Coturnix japonica: one gene and its partners. The protein of the gene in region 3 interacts with the protein of the main gene of each other region in a biochemical or structural test. Links are inferred from orthologs where the notes say so. Each region holds a gene or a part of one and is shown on either strand. Other genes may lie near its edges.

The links.
Region 1: the proteins of NCOA6 (region 3) and TGS1 form a complex in vitro, tested with the Homo sapiens proteins (2 studies listed by BioGRID). The link is inferred for Coturnix japonica from reciprocal best matches to the Homo sapiens genes NCOA6 and TGS1.
Region 2: the proteins of NCOA6 (region 3) and THRB form a complex in vitro, tested with the Homo sapiens proteins (2 studies listed by BioGRID). The link is inferred for Coturnix japonica from reciprocal best matches to the Homo sapiens genes NCOA6 and THRB.

What each region holds. Positions count from the first base shown.
Region 1 is NC_029517.1:100,458,989-100,462,641, forward strand, and holds part of TGS1 (trimethylguanosine synthase), read left to right. Parts: coding exon 1-152; intron 153-1,064; coding exon 1,065-1,208; intron 1,209-2,729; coding exon 2,730-2,946; intron 2,947-3,376; coding exon 3,377-3,455; intron 3,456-3,653. UniProt on the Homo sapiens protein: Catalyzes the 2 serial methylation steps for the conversion of the 7-monomethylguanosine (m(7)G) caps of snRNAs and snoRNAs to a 2,2,7-trimethylguanosine (m(2,2,7)G) cap structure.
Region 2 is NC_029517.1:34,219,851-34,223,503, reverse strand, and holds part of THRB (thyroid hormone receptor beta), read left to right. Parts: intron 1-1,253; coding exon 1,254-1,401; intron 1,402-3,179; coding exon 3,180-3,385; intron 3,386-3,653.
Region 3 is NC_029535.1:435,262-438,914, forward strand, and holds part of NCOA6 (nuclear receptor coactivator 6), read left to right. Parts: intron 1-2,538; coding exon 2,539-2,685; intron 2,686-3,456; coding exon 3,457-3,653. UniProt on the Homo sapiens protein: Nuclear receptor coactivator that directly binds nuclear receptors and stimulates the transcriptional activities in a hormone-dependent fashion. Coactivates expression in an agonist- and AF2-dependent manner.

The DNA of each region.
Region 1 (3,653 bases), on a different chromosome or scaffold from region 3:
AAAGAAGAAGGATAGAAAAAGGAGGAGAAAGCATAAGATGGCATTGGGAGAGATACCTCCTGAGATTGCTGCGGATCCTGAGCTGATCAAGTACTGGGCACAACGCTACAGGCTGTTCTCTCGCTTCGATGAGGGGATTAAACTAGATAGAGGTAAGTGTGTCTAGTGCACAGGGTGCTGACTTTGGTGGCATAAGGGGTACCCAGGCCTGTGACCTTTCTTACAGCTTATTTATTACTAATTCTTTTGATGGAAGGAACAATACTGAGTGCACAGCCAATGCACTGACAAACAAAAGAGCTTTGGGACTTCTGTCTCCCGTTTTCTAGCATGGTATGCCCTTCTTTGTGCTGGTTGTGATGCTTGCTGAAGGTCATAGTGTACCCAAGCAATGCTTGGTCAGGACTTTCTCAGAAACTCAATGACATTTTTTCTCCATAATTTATTATTATTATTATTATTATTATCATTTTTAACTTTGAAGTGCAGTGGTGAATGTAATTTAGTTCTCTTAACATTCACGGTTTTTCAGCAGTCATTTTCAAGGTTGCATTTTTCCATGTTATGTGGAAACTGCTTCTAAATTATCAGTTCATAGGTAAATAAGGAGTTAGTATTACCACCGTTTTTGGTAAGATTTTTGTTAGGCTTTCATTTCTAGTATTTTTCCATATAAACACATAGTTTGTTTGGCAGGCCAGGCATGACTGTAATGAAAATAATGTGTAGGATGTGAGAGGATATATTTCTGTTTTTACTTGTGGCAGAGCATAGTTATGACATGTATAAGGTTTTGTGCAATTGTATTTATGTATTTGTCCTTGATAAGCGCCAAGTTCAACAAAGCCTTCAGTGAGAATCAGGGATATCTATTCACTTTGGTGAGACTTTGTTTGCTTAGCAAATCACTGGACTCAACGGAGTTTATAATCTTGAAAGCCTGTATTTCCTGGTCAAACGTGCTAAGCCAAAATTGCTGGGGTTGATGCTAAACCTTCAGTTGTTTGTTTTTAATTTAGATAACATTGAAATAAGTGGCAAAAATACTTCTCTTCCCTTTGCAGAGGGCTGGTTTTCTGTTACTCCTGAGAAGATAGCAGAGCATATTGCAGTCCGTGTCGCTCAGTCATTCAACTGCAATACAATAGTGGATGCCTTCTGTGGGGTTGGAGGAAATGCTATTCAGTTTGCTTTGACCTCAAAAAGAGGTAAGTAGGCATTGTATGCAGTACATTGTTTCATTTCTTCAACCTTTTTGCCCTAAAATTAGGGAAGGAAATTAGGAAGAAGTTTTTTAGGTTGAAGTTTTTCACACAGGGTGGTGATGCACTCAAACAGGATGCCCGAGGAGGTTGTGGATGCCCCATCCCTGGAGGCATTCAAGGCCAGGCTGGATGTGGCTCTGGGCAGCCTGGTCTAGTGGTTCGCAACCTTGCACATGGCAGGGGAGTTGAAACTAGTTGATCTTTGAGGTCCATTTCAACGCAGGCCATTCTATTACTCTATGAAAATTGGAGCTGGGCTTTTTTCACAGATGCATTTTTCTCCAGTGCTTCTGAAGCAGTGGGAGGTTTCTTCCTTCATCAGAATCACAATACAAGGTTTCTTTTTTTAAAGTTGACCTGTAGAACTGCTTTCCAATTTAAAGTCAAAGTTGGATTTACATTGAACGTAATAAATGTTAGTTTTAATTGACATAGTAGCTAGTCCATTGGATGCGCTGGAAATTGCTGTTAAAAGTTAAGTTCTGTTTGCAGTGCCAACCTGCAGTACACCAGAAAGCTGCTGCTTTTCTCAATAGTGCATTAAGACTATGTACTCAAAGGCATGTTTCATGTGAACTGTACTTAAAACATCGGAATGGGATCACCTCTGTCTGTGCAGCAGGACCTAATACAGAAAAGCAATGATAACTTGATATTAGTGTAATTTCTTGTTTCCAGGTAATGAAATTGCAGTGAATCATGAGTGCTTTCTGTAAATACATTAACTACTTAATCCTCCCCTATTCATGAAACACTGGTAAAATACCAGCTCATCTAACACTTCCCAGTAATTTCTGAGCAAGAAAAATGGTAGTTCGTGCTGCACTAAATTGGTAGGCTATGATGCATTCTATAAATATTTCCTAAATTTCACATACTTTATATAATTATATACTGCCATTGTATCATAATTTTTGTACTACACTGCGTGTTTTTCCAACTCAGTTTTCAGTGTAATGCGATCAGCCACAAGGCAAACATTCATCTTTGACAAGAGAGAAGAATGGGTTTCCAGTTGACTCTGTGGAAGCTGTTGGGCTCCTGCCCGGAGAGAAGATGGGAAGCCTTCCTCACTTAGGCAGACAGCCTTGCCTGTCCTATGCTTGTGCTGAGGAGTGTTGTAGTAGATGTGTGATTCCCAAAACTTAAACAGCGTGCTAAGTCTTCCCACAGTCTTGGCTATGGTATTGCTGTCACTTTGGTGTGAATGCATGGAGCTTCTACTGTAAAGTAAAGGACCCTCTTTTCCCTTTGAGGAGCTGGAGTTTCATGTCTACCGCCATGCAGAAAATGAAGTGCTTAGCACATGAAATGAAATTACGGATGTGATGTGTATCTGGTTGCTACAAGAGAATGTTGTGAAACTTTTGTTTGGTAACTGGGTGGCATCTGTGTGGTGATCGGATGTTTTGTGCACTTTGCAGCCCACGTTACCTGTGCACTTCCTCTCTCGTTCACTTGCAGTGATTGCTGTTGATATCGATCCTGAGAAACTCAGCCTTGCACGCAGCAACGCCGAGGTGTACGGCGTGGCCAACCAGATCGAATTTGTGTGCGGAGACTTCATGGTGCTGGCTGCTGACCTGAAAGCAGATGTTGTGTTCCTTAGCCCTCCTTGGGGTGGGCCTGACTATGCCACTGCTGAAATCTTTGACATCCAAACTATGATTTGCCCAGATGGATATCCTTTCAAAGCTCTGTGTTACCATGGATGTCATTTTCAGTCCTTTTTTTTTTTTCTTCCCTGTTTCTCTTGAGGTGGGCTTTGCCATGTCCAGCTGGTTGACTGAAAGTGACTGTCTGGATGAGGTGCTACAAGATACGGTTTAGTAACTTAGTGCTAGTAATGGTGATATGAGAACAGTTGGACTAGATGATCTTGTAGGTCCTTTCCAACATTGTGATTCTATGATTTCTTGTTGTTGCTATTTAAAAAAGGTCAATAATGGTGAAATAATTGACTTTCTGCATTTAGTGCTAACTTCTGCATTCTAGAGCAGTATCTAATTACACAGACATTCCATTATTGCGTATTAAGCTTTCAAAATGAATTAATATATAATAGTTTCTCCATCCATGCACTACCTTTTTTTTCCTTTACTGGCTTCTACATTTGAAATTTTCAGGCTCTCCAAGAAGATCACAAACAACATTGTGTATTTTCTACCTCGGAACGCTGACATTAACCAGGTATGTTACTGGATAACGGCTTGGTAACTACCAAAACATCAACTGGCTTAGAACATAGATAGTATAAGCACAAAGTTAAGATTTTTAAGTCTATTCAGTTGAACGTGTTTGGCTGTTTTGTTTAAAATCTGAACCTTATATTGAGTGGTGTCTGTGTTTCTAGCACTTCTGGCGTATATAGAAATGGGAGTAGTAGAT
Region 2 (3,653 bases), on a different chromosome or scaffold from region 3:
TATCACTGCTATAAGATTTTACACTCTGTTATTTAGTATGATTAAAAAGAGACTTCTTGCTTAGTGAAGTGAAAAGATGTTCAGTAACTAAAATCCAAGCTGAAGAGAGTGTATGTTAGATAAAATCCCATCTCACTTGAACTTTACCATGGTTTTCAATGAAACCAAAGCTATTCACTGTGGCCCCAGTCAACAGGACTGGTATCTCAGCGTGTTCTTTCTGTCAAGGTAGTTCCAAACTGTGTTGCTAAGTGTAGACAGTCTTAAACAGTGGTGGAAAGTGAAGTAAATTTCTGCCCTTATCAGTCTGTCTGGTTCATACTGCGTTTCTCTTGGGAACTTCATCCAGCTCTTGCCAAAGTCTGTGAGAGAACTCGTAGAAATTTATATCAGGATTAGGTCTACAGTGTTGGGAGAGAAGCTGTATCTGATTTCTTTACCTAAGACCAGGGTGTGTGGTGTGCTCAAATCTGAGACTTCAGTGGAGCTACAGTACTTGGTGTGAGCTGAGGATCTGACCTCCTATCAACTGCAATTGGCTGTATGTATATTATTGTAGGTAGATAGAATATACATAGAGAGTTCTTTGTTGGTGATGTTTGTTTTGAATATAGATGCTTGTGGGAAATAGGAATTCCTTTTCTCATAAATGCATATTTTTTCAGAATTATGGATCCATTATTTAGGGCCCAACTGAGAAGTTGAGTGAATTGTGTTTGACTGCAGAATTCATAGTCTTGCCCAGATTTGATTGGTTGGTTATTTCACTTTAGAGGAAGGGCACAAGTAAAACTGCTCATTCTTTGCCCTCTACTTACACTTAGTTATACGCCACCATTTTTGCCCTTAGCAGAGGCTGTCCTTTAATTAAGAGTACACATATGCCTCCCTTTGAAATCATTGTAATTTAAAAAGGGGCTCAAAATAAACTCTAGTTCCAATCAACAATAAAATTTATGCATGGAAATGCAGGACTTGAAGAAAACACGTAATCAGTATCTTTTTCCTCAAGACAGCTTTCCTTACGCTTTTACCTATCTCAGGGGTCTGTATGTTTTAATTTTTAAGGAGGAAATGTTTCTTGAATCTGAGAAAATGCCATAATCTATAAGTCTGTTTTGTTCTCTTTGAGAGTTTAATGGAGTATTTTATGCTGCTTACTTAGGTATGTTTCTACCAAACCAAATTGGCCACCAATTTGGAAAAAATACGCAGTAGTTCTGTTTCCCAATGTATTTATTTATCGCACTTAGGGATTTTTCAGAAGAACCATTCAGAAAAACCTCCATCCAACCTATTCCTGTAAATATGAAGGAAAATGTGTGATAGACAAAGTAACAAGAAATCAGTGCCAGGAATGTCGCTTCAAAAAATGTATCTTTGTTGGCATGGCAACAGATTGTAAGTATATTTTTCTCTTTTTCTTCATTTTCTCTCTCTCTCTCTTTTTTAATATGTATTTATTTGCTTTAAGTACGTTGGTTGGTGAAGATTGTTAAAAAAGAATGGAACTGACAACGTTTTTTGTTTTTAACCATTTGTTCTGGAGAATTATGCTCATTGCATCAACCCACTTCTGAATGCTGTAATATTTTGTTTACGCTTTACCAAGCTGCACCTTCTCCTGGCCTTTCTGGACTGAGTAACAATAGGAATGTTAACTCTTAGGAGGAAAGGAGGGAGGAATGCATCTGGATGGACACTTTGCTTGGAAAAAAAAAACATCTTGTTTAGAAAATTCTGGAGGATGTGAAACTGAATGCCGTTGTATGAGTCATCCTGCAGTTGTTTGTTTTATTTTTAGCCCTGAAGAAGTTATCTGCAAATAATTTGACTCTCATTCTAAAGAGCTAGAACATATGGCTGTAAGATTAACCCTTAGGGATCTTCTTTTCCTGCCACTGCACAGGGATTTACACCAATAACTTCAATTAGTGCAATGAGAGGAACTCATGTAAATCCCCCTGTGCATTGATGTTAATGGTTGTTGCCATTGTAATCCTCTGCAAATAAATAAATAAATAAAGACCAAAACCAAAACCAGACCCAATCAGGAAAATAAAAATATTCCAACTTAGCATTTTTCACTTGCAATGTAACGTGTGGCATTTTGTGTATAAAATGAAACAGAAGAAGTGAAACAGTTTCATTAAAGGCAGATGGTACTTAAAGAGAGGGAATGGAATGACTCTGGATCATCAGTTCAAATCCAGCCCACGTTGATGCATCAGGCAATACTGAGCATCAGCCATTTAGGAGCTGCACAGAATGAGAAGTTTGTCTGAGTCTGATTCTGACCAGCAGTTGCACTTTATGGTACCATAAAGTGGTGTCTATAGAATGCACATACAGGTGTGTCAGAGGAGCTGTCACTGAGACTGGAAGACAAGCCAGCTATCTCCAGACATCAGTACAGACTGAGGAATGAATATATTCAGGGCAACACTGCAGAGAAAGACTTGGAGATTCTGGTGGATGAAAAATTGGGTGTGAACTGGTAGTGTGCGCATGCAGCCCAGAAAGCCAGCTGTATCCTGGGTTGCATCAGGAGAGGGATGGCCAGCAGAGGGAGGGGATTGTCTTTCACTGCTCTGCCCCCGTGAGGCCCCATCTGGAGTACTGCATTGAGGCCTGGGGCCCCCAGTGCAGGGAAGACACTGAGCCTTTGCAACATGTCCAGAGAAGGGTCACTAAGATGATCAGAGGGCTGGAGCACCTCTTATGGAAGAAGGTTGAGGAAATAAGGTTCCCAGGAGACCTCATTGCGGTCTTCCAGTACTTAAAAGGAGCTTGTAAACAGAAGGGAGACCAACTTTTTATGAGGGATATTGACTTCAAACTGAAAGAGATTTAGAATGAATATAAGGAATAAGTTCTTTAGTGGGAGAGTGGTGAAGCCTTGACACAGACTGCACAGAGAAACTGTGGATGCCTCATCTGTGGAGGCTTTCAAGGCCAGGTTGGATGGGGACCTGGGCAGACTGAGCTGGTGGGTGGCAGCCCTGCCCACAGTAGTGTGGTGCACTAGATGATCTTTAAAATCCCTTCCAACCCAAACCATTCTATGATTGGTTAAGGTGTTGGTAATCAATTAGTACATCTGGTATAAATAGGAAAAACCTAAGTTCAGATAACTTCAGTAACTTCCTGCCGTTTTTGTATGCTCTTATCCTTGCTAGTGGTGCTGGATGACAGCAAGCGGCTGGCAAAGAGGAAGCTGATAGAAGAAAATCGAGAGAAGAGGCGTCGGGAGGAGCTGCAGAAAACAATTGGTCACAAGCCTGAACCAACAGATGAGGAATGGGAGCTGATCAAAATTGTCACTGAAGCACATGTGGCCACCAATGCACAAGGAAGCCACTGGAAGCAGAAAAGGAAATTTCTGGTAGGGGCTGCAGACATTCACACTGCTCTTGAAGTCAAGTTCCTTCATTTCTTCTGAAGTCCCTGCCCAGCATTGCAACCACTGGTGTATGTGCCAGTGTTTTGATTTATATGAAAAACTGATGATTGTTGATTCTTGGCTGATTCTCAATATTTGATCAGACCAGGTATTTAACAGATAAATAGCTTTCTGATGAGTTAAGGCTTACCTAGCTGGGTACTTTTAATGTTCTTTGGTAAGAAAAAGTGGGGAAAAATGACTCTCTCCT
Region 3 (3,653 bases):
TTTATGTAGCTGCTGCTTATGACTCCTAGTCATCCTCTTGGCAGTTCTTCTATTGCCTTACAGAAAGTTCAGAATAGGCAAAGATATTATTTGTTGGTTTTGAAAGGGAGAGAGTTCAATAAAAGCAAATGAATGGTTTTTTTCCCTTCAGCTTAGTCTGTCACCACTTATGTTTTCTGCTACAGAAACGAAGCATTATTTTACATTTTCCCTTCTCAGTTGTGGATGTTTCCTCTTGACCCTGTCTTTATTTGTCATTGGTTTCTTTGCTTTAGAAGCACTGTTACTGCTATGCTATTGAATTCCCTGCTCTAAAATGAGAAAGTCAAGGAATGCTTTAACTTCCTCTTTGGTTGTGTGGTCTTTAGTTTTCTGCTTGGATCTCTGCATTCAAATTTTTGCCTTACTACTCTCAAAAGGCTTCTCTAGCGATGGCAGAATTTCATTTCTGAATCTTCAGATCTCTTTTGTGTCCCTGTTTTTCTTTTTTCCTTGTGCCTTTTATGGTGCTGTGCCCGACTTGTAGCAAGTCTCTCCATTTGTTTGTCTTTCTCCTGAATGGCTGCTCTCAGTTACCTGTGCATAGGCTCTTGCCTGGGTCTTTAAAATCTTTTTGTTCTGTACTTGTAAAGTCTAGGCCATATTCTTTGTCTACCTACACACACAGTTCAGTATGTATTCTATTTTCCTGTGTTGTCACATTGCACATCCAATTCAGCTCAGATGAGCTGTAACGACTACCCATTCCTTGGCCAACTGATACAGGCAGGTTTTCTTGTATCTTCACAGTTTGTGTTGTGGATGTCATTTGAATTTGGTTCAGTTTGTTTCATCTGAATTGTCTCAGTTTTAGGGTTTTCCTCCTTCTTTAGGGTTTTTAGGGCCTGCCAGTGCTTTTTTGCTTGCTACCTCCTTTCTTGTCTCCAGCTGCCAAATATTTTGAGAAGTGTCACATTTCCTTACAGTTCTGTCTCTCCAGCTGCAATGCTCTGTCACCATCTTCTAGGTAGTGTAACCCTAACCTAAATAGCATAATCTCTGCATACTTACTATACCTACTATAGACAAAATCCTACTTTTGTTTTGTTAAAAATAACAACCCAAATAAGCCATAAAAATACATTATTTGGACTCACTCCAGGCCCTATTGCTAAAATCAGCAATCTGTATCCTCAGGTGTTTTAAAAAGACAGGATTCTGTTGATTTAAACAAAGCTATGTGTGCCTTCCATTTGCTGTGGTTTTTGCCTGACTTCTGTCCATACTTAGTCTTTAGTCCTGCAATTTAGACATTAATTAGGCCATAGTTAGGGATCTTCCCATTTTTGAGCCACTTTGCATTTAAAGGTTTAGTGTAAATTGAATACATTCCAACTCTTTCACCTGGTTAATTTTGCAAATCAGAATAGGCCAGATTGAACACTTTTCTCAATTCAAGCATTCCTACAAGCTTTTTCCTAAGTTTTGCAGAACTAGAACTGTAATCCTGTGATGTTGTTTGAAATATTTGTCCCATATTTACAGACACACCTAATTTTTTACTTATGAACTCAATTACACTGAAGTATTAGTTGTAGACACAAAACCAGATTAATTTACACAAGCAATACAGTTAAAGTGTGCAAGAAAGCTATAACCATAGAGGGAGCCAAGGTTAAATTCTGGCTGTGGAAGTGAATCAGGCAAATACAGGAGTATAGTGTTTCTAATAGGTACTATGGTACTATATATTTGATGGTGAGTTAAAGGAAGTGGGTTTTGTTAAAGACATTTCTGCTGCTGCTCATCTCAGTAGGAGTGGTGCAGATTTTGCTCTTTGTCACAGGGCAGCAGTGGTGTTGTGATATGTCAAAGTGTGGGTGTTGTGCCAGGCAGAGCTGGCAGAATATTTGCAATAGGAATAGCAGGGTTGTGTATATAAACTTGGGACTTGCTGCAGCTGAGTCTTTTTGTGGGTAGTGAGGCCCTGTTCTGTCTCATGACCTTGAAGATTCTTCAACTCAGCCCTCCGTGAGCCCAGAAGTCATTTTGAGTCTGTATGTACATAGACCAGCAGGGCGAAGGAATGTCTACCCAGTGTGTTATGGCGGCACATCTTGTTGAGAGGAGAAGTGCCATCAAAATGCAAGATTTTTGTATTTGCTTACATGGAGTAAGTTACGGACCTGGTGAGAGATGAGCTGCAGTAGAGAAGAAAGCAGCAAATGATGGTACTTCAAATTCCAGTTTCTGAAAATTCCAACTTTTCCCCTTTTTTGGGCTTGGTGTTCTACTTAGACTAGAAGCAGAATTACATTTTGAGTGGAGTCTTAGTGCTTTGTTAGGCAGAACTACTGCACAGGTAAGAATTCTTAGTATGCTTTCAGTGAGTTTTACGTATTGGCAAAAATTGCTTTTTTCCTAAACCAGAAGTGTGACAGTACAAACTCAAAGGTATTCTTCCTACTGCCATCCAATTACAGATTGCTTTTTCTTTCCTTTTTATTTTTCTCTCTTCTTTCTTTCCCTACTTTCTAATGAGAAAATTCTTGTATTAAGGAATGCCCAAGCGCCTCCCTCCCGGGTTCCCTGCGGGCCAAGCTAACCAGAGCTTCATGCAAGGTCAGGTGCCTTCCACAGCACCGGGAACACCGGTGAACAGCGGAGCTCCACAGCTACAAACCAGCCAAAATGTGCAGCACGCAGGTCTGTGTGGAATGTGTTGTTCCTCAGTTGTTGGTGGGGAGGTTAATGGTTTTCAAACAGTTCGAGTACTTTTACTTAGAACTGTCATTCTAGGATCCAGAAGTATCTTCTTGGAAGCTAAAAAGAATTAGCAACGGGATTTGGAGGCTAGGGGTAATAAAAATACAGCACAAAAGAAACTTCTTGTCCTGAAAAAATGAAGGGCATTATCTTAGGGAAAACAAGAAAAGAAGCACCTTGTTGTTTGAAAAGGTTATTAGTTTCTTTGAAAGCTTTGGAAATCAGCTTAAAGAGAGTTTTGTGAAAAAAGAAATCTGCAGTTCACAGATATCTCATTTTAACAATTTGGTTATCAGTATTGCATCTGAATTATGTCCATCATCACCACTGTACGTGTATTTATTTTTTACCCATTGTAAAATGACTTCACGGTTTGAAGCTTCTTTTAGTTGGGAATGATTTTGTGAAATTAGGTGCTATTGTGGAATATTTTTAGGCTTATATACAGGTAATGACTGAAATGGAAGTTGAATGAAAGCCTCCTGCAGTGGGGTCCATGTGTGAAGCACCAATGAAGGTGATTTTTTTGTTTTGACAGGTAATGTTTATCTGTGACATCAATCATAGAACAGGACTGCAAATATGTCCAGCATTCCAGTTCATTAGAGAAAGGAGGAAAGTGAATTTGGAGTAGTTATTCAGCATCACATTTGAGAATTTACATCACTCCCATCGGTTTCTAACCAACTTTCTTTTTTATTGTTTTTAAAGGTGGCCAAGGATCTGGGCCTCCTCAAAATCAGATGCAAGCACCACATGGCCCACCGAATATGATGCAGACCAATTTAATGGGGCTTCATGGAGGTATGAACAACCAGCAGGCTGGTGCTAGTGGAGTGCCGCAAGTTAACATGGGCAACATACAGGGACAGCCTCAACAAGGACCACAGTCTCAGCTTATGGGAATG